Linked DNA regions of Arabidopsis thaliana. The protein of the gene in region 2 interacts with the protein of the main gene of each other region in a pairwise test. Each region holds a gene or a part of one and is shown on either strand. Other genes may lie near its edges.

Region 1 (5,043 bases), about 13 Mb from region 2:
TCGAGAGCTGTCTTGATGCGGGTGACGATGTCAAAAGCATCTCCCGGGAGGGAATCATTGAGATCATCATCGCGTTCCGCTTTGTTGAACGAGTTGGTCGCGATCAAGACAGATGCATCACAACCTTCAAGGAAACAATCATGGAAAAAGAGACGGAGGGTCCCGGCCGCAGTTGTTGGTTGTTGGACTTGTTTGGTTGTAACGGCTTCACGCACAATTTTGTGGAAATCAGGACATGTTTTTTGGTAATAGTCCGTTCTCAAGATAGCGACATCAGCCGATATAATTGGTGCAACCACGGCGAGACAGAAGAGGATAACAAAGGGATTAAAACCACGAGAGAATTGCATATTCGACATCAGATAATAACAAACAATGGTAATTGAATTGGATTTGTGAGAGAGATGTCTACGAGGTAGACTTCTCTACGATCGATTGTCGTCGAAAGCAATTAGAAACGAAGACGAAGAAAGGGCCTTTGCGACTATTTCATGGCTTAGGAGGTTACTAAGAAGAGGCTACGTAAAGGATGGTTTTCATTTCCTTATATGTACGTGTGGTTGTTTTTCGTTTATTCTTTTCTATTTTTGTAATTTATCTATTTTTTGTATGGTTTTGGTTGCTTTGAATTTGTTTTGGTTCTAGAAATTTTCTTATGTTCGACAAATGTGGTAATATGATAGTTGCTTTAATAGGATGCATACACACGTGAAATTGATAAATACGAGAGAATAGAAACTCATGTGAAGGAAAAAACTAATATTAATTAAAATTATTCATTTCGCACAAACAAACAAACAAATTAAAATCATTCATAGTTTATCAACTAAACTTTAAACTTGACGTTATTTTATAATTTTGTTGAATCAACAACCTGTGAAGGTGAAGGTGCCAATGATTGTGACAACATGATGTTTGGTATGCTTACGTTAATTTGATCCAAGAACAGTTTTCTAGCAAATGTTTGATGAACTAGACTCAAATAAAAATACCTACTCATGTAGAAATCACGCAAGCTCAACATTATTAGAGATCTGATTGAATTTGATATTTTCGTCAGATTCGTATCAATCTCAATTTTGTATTACATATAACGAGCCTAACTCTCATATGGGGCAGATCTTTTTGTAAGTTCGAATGAGAGTTATGCCTTTGGTAACATAAATTGCTAGACCACAAAATTACATATTTTCTTATTTAACCTACGCAAAATCGCAAATATCTAAGAGTGCAAATGATTTCATAAAGGAATTTAATGGAATAAATATATGAATAAAAAAAAAGAAGATGAATAATGTTATTCAATCAATTCCACCTGCGACATAGTAAAAAAAAAGAGTTGAATAATTATTATTTTTTAATTTTCACCCTTTTCAATGTAATCATTTAAAAAAAAAAACTTTTTTGTCATCCCAAAAGTATAGAATTGGAAGAATGGTTTATTATACCACTTTTATTCTTCTAGCTGTACCATTTGCATAATAAGTTTCTCTATACCGGAACCAAATTCTTGTATTTTCTATATTAAATATTCTAATATGAGAAGTTGAATGTTAAGAATTTTTTTTTACTTATCATGCTATCTTATTATAGAAAATTTGGTTTCTCAAAAGTAGTTATTAACATAATCTAATATGAGAAGTTGAATGTTAAAATTAAATATTTACTTAACATGTGAACTTATCATAGAAAACTTTGGTTTCCAAACTTGTTCATAATTTTTTTCTAAAATAAAATAGTAAAAAAGTAAATCTAATTCAAATAAAAATAAGATAATCAATTATTTAAAGTGTTAGAAAAATAGAGTGATAAAATAAGAAATAAACATCATTCAACAAACCTAAATATTTAGAAATATGTAGAAATTTAATTGAAAACCCCAAAAAAATATGAAGGGAGGCTTTGGTGTCTAAAAATTAGTAATTGGGCCCAATATCTCGTGCGCAAAGCCCATATTACATAGAGCATGGCGCGTATAAATAACATACATCTTATGTATTTATCTCTCTCACGCGCCCCTCTTTTCTTCTTCATTGACACGGACATTCGTTTCCAATTCTCTCTAATGTTTCACTAAAGCGCATACATAACCCTAACCCTAACTCTCTCGTACTGCACAAAAAAAAAAAAAAAATTGAAGAAGAGCGATACGATCGTAACCAGGGAGCTTGATTTCTCCCCTGATTTTTCTAATGGATTCTCAACAGAGCGATCTCTTTGACACCGCATCGCAGCCGGACACGGTGGCCGACGAGTATACCTTTTTGGAATTCAATACTCAAGGCGATTCAGAGTTCGATTACCAGGATTTTGGATCGCCGACGGCATGGCCGACACCGTCTGATTCTATTTCCATCGCTGACGTTGCCGATCGTGGTGAAGGAGGAGCTGCCGCGGATCATCATTCTGAGGCTTCGTCACCTTCGTCCCTCTCTGCCGGTGCCGGGAATGGTGCGAAAGTGGGACGCGGTGGAGTTGGTGGAAGTGGTGGTGTTAGTAGTAGTAGTCAGGTTGATGCATTGGCCGCTGGTGTGGGAAATTTGAACTTTGAAGAGACTGGTGATGATGATGGTTTTGATTATGGTAAAAATGATTTCACGGAGCACGCTTGTAAGTATTGTGGTATCTCGAACCCAGCTTGCGTCGTTAGGTGTAATGTGGCTTCTTGTAGAAAGTGGTTCTGCAATTCAAGGGGAAACACCTCAGGCTCTCATATTGTGAATCACCTGGTTAGTAATCATCACTGTAATCTGTTTTTTTTTTTCATCTTCTGGAAGTGTTGTAGTTTCTTGTGTTGTTGTTAAGACATGTGGTCATAGGTATCTCTGGTTTGGTTTGTTTACTCTACAATTTCCATGAGATAGGGTTGCACGCAATTGAACCTTTCTTAATGGATTTCCTTCTGTTGGTTATTTTTAAGGTGCGAGCAAAACACAAGGAAGTTTGTCTCCATAGAGACAGTCCACTAGGGGAAACAATTCTCGAATGCTACAACTGTGGGTGTCGGAATGTCTTTCTTCTCGGTTTCATCTCAGCAAAGACAGATAGTGTTGTCGTCCTTCTCTGTAGAGATCCTTGTCTAAATGTAAATGCCCTGAAGGATATGAACTGGGACCTAAGTCAGTGGTGTCCCTTGATTGACGACAGATGTTTCCTCCCCTGGCTTGTTAAGGTTAGTTTCTGTCCTTGCATTTTTTCTTACGAAGACATTTTCATGTGATAGCTTTTATTAATTCTTGTTTTACAGGTCCCATCAGAGCAAGAACAGCTAAGGGCACGCCAAATTAGCGCACAGCAAATAAACAAGATAGAGGAATTATGGAAGACAAATCCGGATGCTACTCTTGAAGACCTTGAAAAACCTGGTGTAGATGATGAACCTCAGCCTGTTCAACCTAAGTATGAAGATGCGTACCAGGTATAGATTTTCTCAGCCTTTTACTTATAAAATAAGTAACTCAATTGATATATTAGAGAAACAGTAAATTCGTCATGCCACTTTTGGAAGAGGTCACTGTTAGAATTATGCTTCTATACTTATCCTTTCTGGTGGTTTGCAGTATCAAAATGTGTTTGCACCTCTAATCAAACTCGAAGCAGACTATGACAAGGTGTGTATTTAGTAATTCATTTTATTTGGATTGATTTTCATGTCCCTTTTATATTTGTTCTGTTGGGACTTATCATCTTAAGTCTGCTGTAGATGATGAAAGAGTCTCAAAGCAAGGAAAACCTCACTGTTCGGTGGGATATTGGTCTTAACAAGAAGCGTGTTGCATACTTCGTCTTCCCAAAGGTGGTTGAAATCTAGTGGTCGCTATTAAGCCTTGATTAGAACATTTCCCGATTTAAACTTTTGATGCAGGAGGAAAATGAATTGCGATTGGTACCGGGTGATGAACTACGTCTGCGGTACTCGGGAGATGCTGTTCATCCATCCTGGCAGTCAGTTGGACATGTGGTATACATCGTTCTTGGTTTTGTTATGTTAGTAGGGTGGAGATCCTGTATTTGAGAGTGTTTAGGTCTTTACCATAAAATTTTAATAATTCTCCAGATCAAGCTAACGGCGCAAGAGGAGGTTGCTCTTGAACTCCGAGCTAATCAGGTGAGTATAATTCTGATGTTAGCTTTGCTTTTGACATCGACTTGCGGAGATATGTTCAACCTCACTTACTCTGTGTGTAGGGAGTTCCGATTGACGTAAATCATGGATTCAGTGTTGATTTTGTTTGGAAAAGTACAAGCTTTGATCGAATGCAGGGAGCAATGAAGAATTTTGCTGTAGATGAAACAAGTGTGAGTGGGTAAGTCAGTCATCGGAAAGCCTAGCTCCTTCTTGGTACGTGTCCATTTGTTACTGCATGCTAATCAACCACTGAATCACTATGTTTCTATTCTTTGAAGTTATATCTACCATCAGTTATTGGGACATGAAGTTGAGGCCCAGATGGTTCGTAACACACTACCTCGACGTTTTGGGGTACCTGGTCTTCCAGAACTGAATGCATCTCAGGTAATCATTGGCTTTCAGCTTATCCAGTTCATGAATAATGTTCGTCGTAAATGTCTTCACGGAATTTTCAGAGTCGTTTTGATCCCGTGTTCCTTGTTAACACGATGAATAATATATGTTATCTATATAACGGATTTATAACAGGCTCTATTGTATCCTTGAGCAGGTTAATGCGGTGAAAAGTGTCCTTCAGAAGCCCATCAGCTTGATCCAAGGTCCACCTGGCACAGGCAAAACTGTGACTTCTGCAGCAATTGTGTATCACATGGCAAAACAGGGCCAGGGACAGGTAAAGCTGATTGTTATTGATTCCCTCAAGATTGCTTTTTGTGAGTTGACTATCAGATATTTATTATTATTACCTGACAGGTTCTCGTTTGTGCCCCAAGTAATGTTGCTGTGGACCAACTAGCTGAAAAAATTAGTGCTACTGGGTTAAAGGTAAACTTTTAAACCTCCTAGTTTTTCTATTAAAATTTTGCGTAAGACATGGATACTTCAATTTATTGTTCATTTTTGGAAGTTTC
Region 2 (7,082 bases):
TGTTCTTGGAGCCTTCTTCCTCTTCTCCGGCTACTTTATCCCAAAAGAGAAGATCCCAAAACCATGGATGTTCATGTACTATGTGTCCTTGTACCGTTACCCGCTGGAGTCTATGGTGGTGAATGAGTACTGGAGCATGCGAGAGGAATGCTTCTCCAGTGGGAACATGGGCTGCTTGATGACCGGAGAGGATGTGTTGAAGGAGAGAGGGCTTGACAAGGATACGAGATGGATCAACGTCGGGATCATGCTTGCCTTTTTCGTTTTTTATCGAATCCTCTGCTGGGGTATTCTACTCAGGAAGGCTTCCAAGTCAACCCATTAAAGATTTCATTGTATAGGGAGAACTGTATTCAGTCTTCTATGTTCATATACAATTACAACTTCTTTTTAACATTTTTCGACATCAGTTTTATCAAGTTCATTTGTAGCAGCATTGGCATATTACAGATTTCAAAATGCCAAGGGAGTAAAATGAGCCTGTAAATGAAGTGAAATTATGTATAAAATCCGACCTTTAAAATCAAAGGTATTCTCACAGATCTTCAAGAGGAGGAAGTATTTCAACACCAAATCATGTTTTATCACATGAGTCCCTTTTTTATTCATTGCAAAGTTTCACACACCTTATGATGGTTCAACTTAAAACGACACAGCAAAACAGAGACAAGTTTGAGACAAGCATAGAATATAGAGGAAATAAAAGTAAAGCAACCCAAGAGAGAGAGAGATAGCTGCAAGAGGACGGACAGCTACACAGTCATACGCAAGAAGAAAAGAAAACAGCAAACAACTGCTTCAGATATCGAGAGTGAGCCACATGCTACGTATGTTCCTTTCTTATTCATAAGGTTTAACATCTCCACCTCAAGTAGCACGAGAAAGGCACTTTACTCCTATCAATTCCACAGAACCATTCATTCTTGTTACCACATATCTCTTCACCAACATGAGCTGTGTCCTGAATCTATCATCAATAAACATTGGTGATTTGTATGAGTGCCTACGCATGTGTAAACAAGGAACTGCAATACTAGCTTAAAGAAAACGATGAAAAGGACCAACCCGTCAGGTAGGAAGTGCCCCACAAGAAGCCAAGGCCACAAAGACTCCAACTAGAGACTTCAGCAGAACAAGGATCAGTTGGAGTTAGGTAGCAATAAACGTTGCGTAACACTCACCTGCATCATTCCCAATTACCTAGATCAACACTAATAACAATAAGATAGTTTACAAAGTATTTGATAATGCAAAGGAGCTTTATGTTTGCTCTTACCGTGTTACTCTTCCATTCTGATCTCACACAAAGTGACGACTCGACCAAGTCGACTGTCCTTGATATTGCTCGGGGAGTTGAGTTGACTGATGGTTTTTGTCCACAAAGTTATCTTTCTGAGGGTTCTGGAAATAAGGAAAATCTGCTTGGACCTGTGAAGTTGGAACTTGTTTTCCAGGAAACGGAAAGTTGGCAGGCCCGTTCAGTCCATTGCCAGTACTACCCAAGTGTTCTGGTTTCCCAGAGGTGGCGTAATTCAAAGAACTGTTCAGCCCAACGCCTCGAGAAGATTGAGCTTGGTATCCATCCAACCAGCTGTAATCATCAACCGGTAGGTGGTTGTTGCCAGACAATTCCGAACCAGGTGCTGGCTCCTTTTGCAGCTTAGCTGGGACAGAGTTAAACCCAGGCGGAGGGCCAAGATGCCTGAAGGCTCTACTGATTGGATTTTTCTTTGCTAATGAAGATTGGACGCCCAGGCCATCAGCAACAACTCCGGATGATAAAACAGGATCAATTTTGGGTGGGAATACAGCTTCAGGTGTTCTTGACTGAGAATATGGCATACCACCCATACCATTGCCATTGTAAGACTGGTGGACGGGTAATGAGTGTGCAGGGTAATAGGAAACTCCATGATTTCCTTGCATCTCATTCCTCATTACATGACCATTACCCAGCTGAGCAAACCCAGATAGGCTACTAGCAAGAGAAGCAGCTTCTTCGGGTGACCACTTGCTACCACCACCAAAGGAAGTAGATTGCGAGTGGGCCGGTGAAACATGTGAAACCTGAGCTTGAGTTTGTTGAAAGTGCACAACCCGTGATGGCAGTGGTTGTGCGACCTGTGATTGTATTGGCTGAAGTCGAGAAGCAGCTAGTGATTGGGCTGGCTGAGGATTCACTGCCTGCGTCTGAACTTGTTGCATATGCATAGCTTGAGACTGGGTTGATGTCAGAAGAAGTCCCAGAAGGTTAGCACCAACAGATGCAGGTACTTGAACCTGCGTCTGAACTTGTTGCATATGCATAGCTTGAGACTGGGTTGATGGCTGTAGAGGTCCCAGAAGGTTAGCACCAACAGATGCAGGCACTTGAATACTCGCATTGCCTCTAGCTTGCAGAATTTGATTTTCATGAAAAGCTACATCAGATCCACTTAAAGCTTTAAAGTCCCCCATAGTAGTAACTTGATCAGATTTCCTGAAGCCTCCACTAGGAACATATATTTGGTCAGAAGCCTCTTTCCTCTTTTCAGTAACAAGCGGCTTGAAAACAATTACTTCATCATCATCATCTTCCTCACCCATATAAATCTGTTGATCAAGCTGCATTATTGGCGAGTTATGATCTATCATTACCTGGTTATCTTGCAAAGCATTACAAGCTTTAGGTGGGCTTGAATGAGAATCCAGAAAGTCATCTGCCGGTTTTACACCAACAAGAAACTTCTTCTTCTTTGAATCAAAATATACATGATTCTGATCAACTTTGATCACACTGGTCAAAGCTTTCCCTGCTGCAAAGATCCTCTTTATACGAGCTTTCTTTTCCTTGGGACCTTCAGTTCCAAACGAATGTTTCCTTGAGAAGTTGAGAATCGTCTGAGCTGGAAGCAGTGGCAAGAATCCTCTTAGTTCATAGTCCTCCCATAGTGCAAGCCGGTTTTCAGTTTCTCTTTCATCATACAAGCTCATGTTTGAGAAGCAAGTCTCGTCTTCGACATCATCAATAAACGTAGGTCCAAGCGATAAGACTTGATTGAAGAAGACAACAAACTGGTTCCAAAAGCTATTTCTTACAGCAGTCTGTCTATCATCGGGATCACTTCCCAGTGCAATGTCAGGACAACAGGCCAACCATTCAACAAAAACTAAGACACCAGGCAAAAAGTAACTCGACGAAGGATCTCCCAGTTGCACACACTTCTCTATTACGAGTCCAAGTAACTCGAAACTAGCTGTTAAGGAGTTTCTGGCAGGCTCAACACGCTGTACAATCTCTGCATATGACTGACCTTCTGTCTCTTTCTTTGAGTTATGAACACTAAATATAAGCATTGTCACGACTCTAACAATGAAAAGTGCGCTGTCACTGGTGTCTATGCCCAAAGTCAGCTCTTTAGCTGAGCCCAAAGAAATCACCTCTCGTAAACTGCTGCTAGTGGAGGCAAGAACATCAAAGAATGTCTCCAGGCTGTGAAGACAAGTGATAGGTATTATACCAGAGAGCCGGTATCAGAATCTAGAACAAAATAATTCAGAAAAATTTACCTTGTTCGGGTAAAAAGAATCCCATTGAGATGAACAAATCTAATGCTGAATGCTTTGAGCATCTCATTTGCAATAGTTACTTTATCCTTCTCAGGACCAGCTACCAAGGTCGCATCTTTCAATGAAATATCTGCACCTTTCCCTCTTCCTTTACCAGTCAGCCTCTTGGATGAGTCTTTGGAGGGCACAAACAATTTTTCATAACTCTGACGATTCTGCTCAAAGAGAGAAAGATACATTATATTTGGATGATAAAAAAGTGAAAGAATAATCACACTCTTACGCCAAGCCACTAAAATAATAATGAAACAGGAACTTTTTAGTTAACCTTATCAAAAGCAACAATCAAGTTGTCACGGGCAGTTGGGAAAGGATACTCCACAGCCAAACTTCGGAAATAACGATATGTTGTTACAAACTCATCCCTCGAATAAGAAGCAACTATTGCAAGCTGAGACATTAAGTTAATCTAGTCAGAAAAAATGTATTCCATAGTTGTACGAAATATAAAATAACATGAGAAAGAGGGGAAAACAAGGGAATCACCTGATGATGTGGGTTTCCACTGGCTGGCCATAGAGAAGCTGCTTGCAAATAGTAACTTGAAGCAGAAGCATACTGTCTGCTCCTGGAATCCCCCTCTGCATACATTCCTTTATACCGAGCCAGATCACCAAGGTATATTAAGCAACGATGACAAGATTTCAAGGCTTTTTGAACTTCTGCTAACTCTTTTCCATCTTTATCAGACAAATTTTGACTCTGTTGATCCTCAGAAAAAGAACCCAGGGGAAGGCCATACTTTGATCTAATTTTTAAGATCATGTCATGGTAAAACCCAGTTGCTTCTGAAAGGAATGTTCTGAACTGCAGCTTGAGTTGTGCAATTTGTTCTGCTTTAGAAGGACCCTTGACATTTTGCGCTGCTGTCGAGGTACTAGAAGCCAATACACGATTGATGTGTAATCTAAAATATTCAATCCGTTTGTAATGCAACTGCCACAGAGGAATTTCAATGTTGTGCTGCTCAGAAAAGGTATGACTTTCAAGAATTATTGCTTCATACTTCTCACGTAAGAGCTGCAACAAATTTGGGTCAGGTGGATTTCCAGCCTTCTGACGCTTGTTTGCTAACTCAGCAATCTGCAAAGTAAGCATCTATAGTCAATACAACGTCGTCCCAAAATCTTACAAAGATATAGGGTCAAGTGAATTGACAAAACGACCTTATACATCCCCAACAAATAAACTAAGATTGCATCCCTAAGAGATATGTTAAATCACTCCAAAAACAAGAACAAACCAAATTGAGAAATGTAAGTGTAGTAGAGAGAGAACCTCATCATATATGGACTTGGCTCGCTCCCATGAAGAGGAAGCAGTAGTTTTATCCATCTGTAAAGTCATCATCCATCAAATGTTTCAATGTTATTTCATATGTAACCTGCAATAAGATAAGAAAGCCAAAACCTTATCATCTAAAACAAAGTAATAAAACAGCCGAGCTAAAATCGTCTAAAGTGTTTGGAGCTTTATACTAAAGAACAGAGACAAGTCAAACCCTTGAATTGGAATAAAGACCATTGACATAAAATCAAAACGATTGCACCAGTGATCAAACGCCGATTTCAAAAGAGTAAAAGAACACATGAATCACAAAGACCCTTCATATCAGAATCGTTTTGCCTATAATCATCAATCATAAACTATTACCCGCAAGACGAGAAGCGAAATCAAAGCAGAATCAGGATCGAATTCAAAAAGGGCAAGCATACAAAAGAAACCCTATTCCCAAGATTTTTAATTTTGAAGAAAAAAAAAACGACGAGATAAGAAGAAAACAACCAAATTCTCGAAATTAGGAATAAAGGGAAGAAATCTAACCGGAATTAACAGATCTGCGGGGATGGGCTATGCGACCAGAAGCATCGGAATGAAAAATCGGTGAGAAGAGAGAAAAACTAGGGTTTTTTTTTCCGCGAGAGAGAGGAAAAAAAAAATAGAGACGGTGAAGATTGTATAAGGTCGACTTTTGCTTATATATAAAAACAATAGAGAGGACATATAAATAGTGAACAATGAATATTAAGAAGAAGAAAAAAAAAAGGATTGTCCAAGTGTTTTCTTTCTCGCTATTGGTTTAGTCAAACGGAGAATGTTGCCTTACGGGATTTGATGAACGTCGTCGTTTCTTAGTCTTTTCTTTTCAAAGATTTGACATCAAAGATTTTTGGACTTCTTTATTACTACTTGTTCTCAAACACATTGGTTGTGATTTACTAGTCGAGACAATCTGCATAATGTTTAACAAACAGGTAAAATTACTAGGAGAATGATTGAAATCTCGGTTGTTTAGTGTTCGTACATCTTGTTGGATGAGTTATACTTGTTTTTCGTAGTGAATGATACATAATTATTTATAGTAAGTTAAGATATATGTGTGGTGTGTTATTTGAATTTCGCGGGTTTTTTTTTTAACTTCTTCCAACGGTATTTAATATTTCTTTTTATTCCTTATATATTAATTGAGAAGCATTTTAAAAAAATAACCATACTTTTATGTATCATTAAGGAAAATGTCACGCTGACATGTCGTTCTCACATTGCTTCTCAATCCATTTAATTAAACACCCAACATAATATTTACGAATTTGTCATTAGTTTTACTTCTATTTATTTTTTTAAATTAATTTATGCTTTTCATTCAATTATTAAAATGAAAATTCAATTAAAATATATGATTAAGAGATATAAATCTATACAAAATAGAGTATCTAATATTTTATATCTATTAATATAACAAGATATACATAATAAATCATGATAAACATAAACATTAATACATAAATAAATATTTCACTAATTTTGATAATTAATTAATACACCATTATTTATCTAATAATAATCAATTATATTGCGGGTATTAAATAATTATACATAAAAGTTATCAATTATACATAAAAGTTATTAAATAATTTTTTCTACCCCGCACTATGTGCGGATATTATCTAGTTGTATTGTGATGGCGATTTAAAAATTAAGCCCTCCCACATAAGAGGAAAATGAAAATGTAATACTGTATATGTTAAAATTCCACATTAATGTAAATATCTATGTTTATGCTTTTATGATTTTTTTTAAAAAATAATGTATTTATGATAAGATTTCATTCCCCTTTTTAAGACAGATTTTCTTCCTTTTTTAAACATCTTGTTTTAGGATTTTTATGTTTAGTTGATTTGAATTGATATAAAATCAATAATCAATAAGATTTTATTAATTTATTCATTTAGTAATTGGACATATGTCAACTTCCCATACTCTGATGAGATCTCACATAAAGGTTCTCTAACTTTCATAGAATATATATATATATATATATATATATATATATATATATATGTTTTTTTAAAAAATTGGTTTTAAACTTTGATAGAATAGATTAATATAATATTGTTGTATATCCAGGTTTGATGTAACTGAATCATGTAAATACATTATTGGCTACAAATGAAAATTAAGAGACTTTCAGT

The links.
Region 1: the proteins of SMG7 (region 2) and LBA1 come close enough for resonance energy transfer, tested with the Arabidopsis thaliana proteins (one study listed by BioGRID).

Annotation. Positions count from the first base shown.
Region 1 is NC_003076.8:19,069,817-19,074,859, forward strand, and holds the start of LBA1 (RNA helicase), read left to right. Parts: upstream 1-2,007; 5' UTR 2,008-2,192; coding exon 2,193-2,729; intron 2,730-2,920; coding exon 2,921-3,172; intron 3,173-3,247; coding exon 3,248-3,418; intron 3,419-3,560; coding exon 3,561-3,611; intron 3,612-3,703; coding exon 3,704-3,796; intron 3,797-3,865; coding exon 3,866-3,961; intron 3,962-4,057; coding exon 4,058-4,108; intron 4,109-4,188; coding exon 4,189-4,307; intron 4,308-4,407; coding exon 4,408-4,516; intron 4,517-4,682; coding exon 4,683-4,805; intron 4,806-4,885; coding exon 4,886-4,957; intron 4,958-5,043. Other genes in the region: AT5G47000 (Peroxidase superfamily protein), read right to left, coding at 1-359. UniProt on the Arabidopsis thaliana protein: Involved in nonsense-mediated decay (NMD) of mRNAs containing premature stop codons (premature termination codon PTC) by associating with the nuclear exon junction complex (EJC) and serving as link between the EJC core and NMD machinery.
Region 2 is NC_003076.8:6,538,480-6,545,561, reverse strand, and holds SMG7 (Telomerase activating protein Est1), read right to left. Parts: upstream 5,560-7,082; 5' UTR 5,434-5,559; intron 4,994-5,433; 5' UTR 4,960-4,993; coding exon 4,888-4,959; intron 4,693-4,887; coding exon 4,096-4,692; intron 4,001-4,095; coding exon 3,878-4,000; intron 3,765-3,877; coding exon 3,550-3,764; intron 3,473-3,549; coding exon 1,300-3,472; 3' UTR 1,277-1,299; intron 1,201-1,276; 3' UTR 1,066-1,200; intron 968-1,065; 3' UTR 547-967; downstream 1-546. Other genes in the region: ABCG23 (ABC-2 type transporter family protein), read left to right, coding at 1-325. UniProt on the Arabidopsis thaliana protein: Plays multiple roles in growth and development. Involved in nonsense-mediated mRNA decay (NMD). May provide a link to the mRNA degradation machinery to initiate NMD and serve as an adapter for UPF proteins function.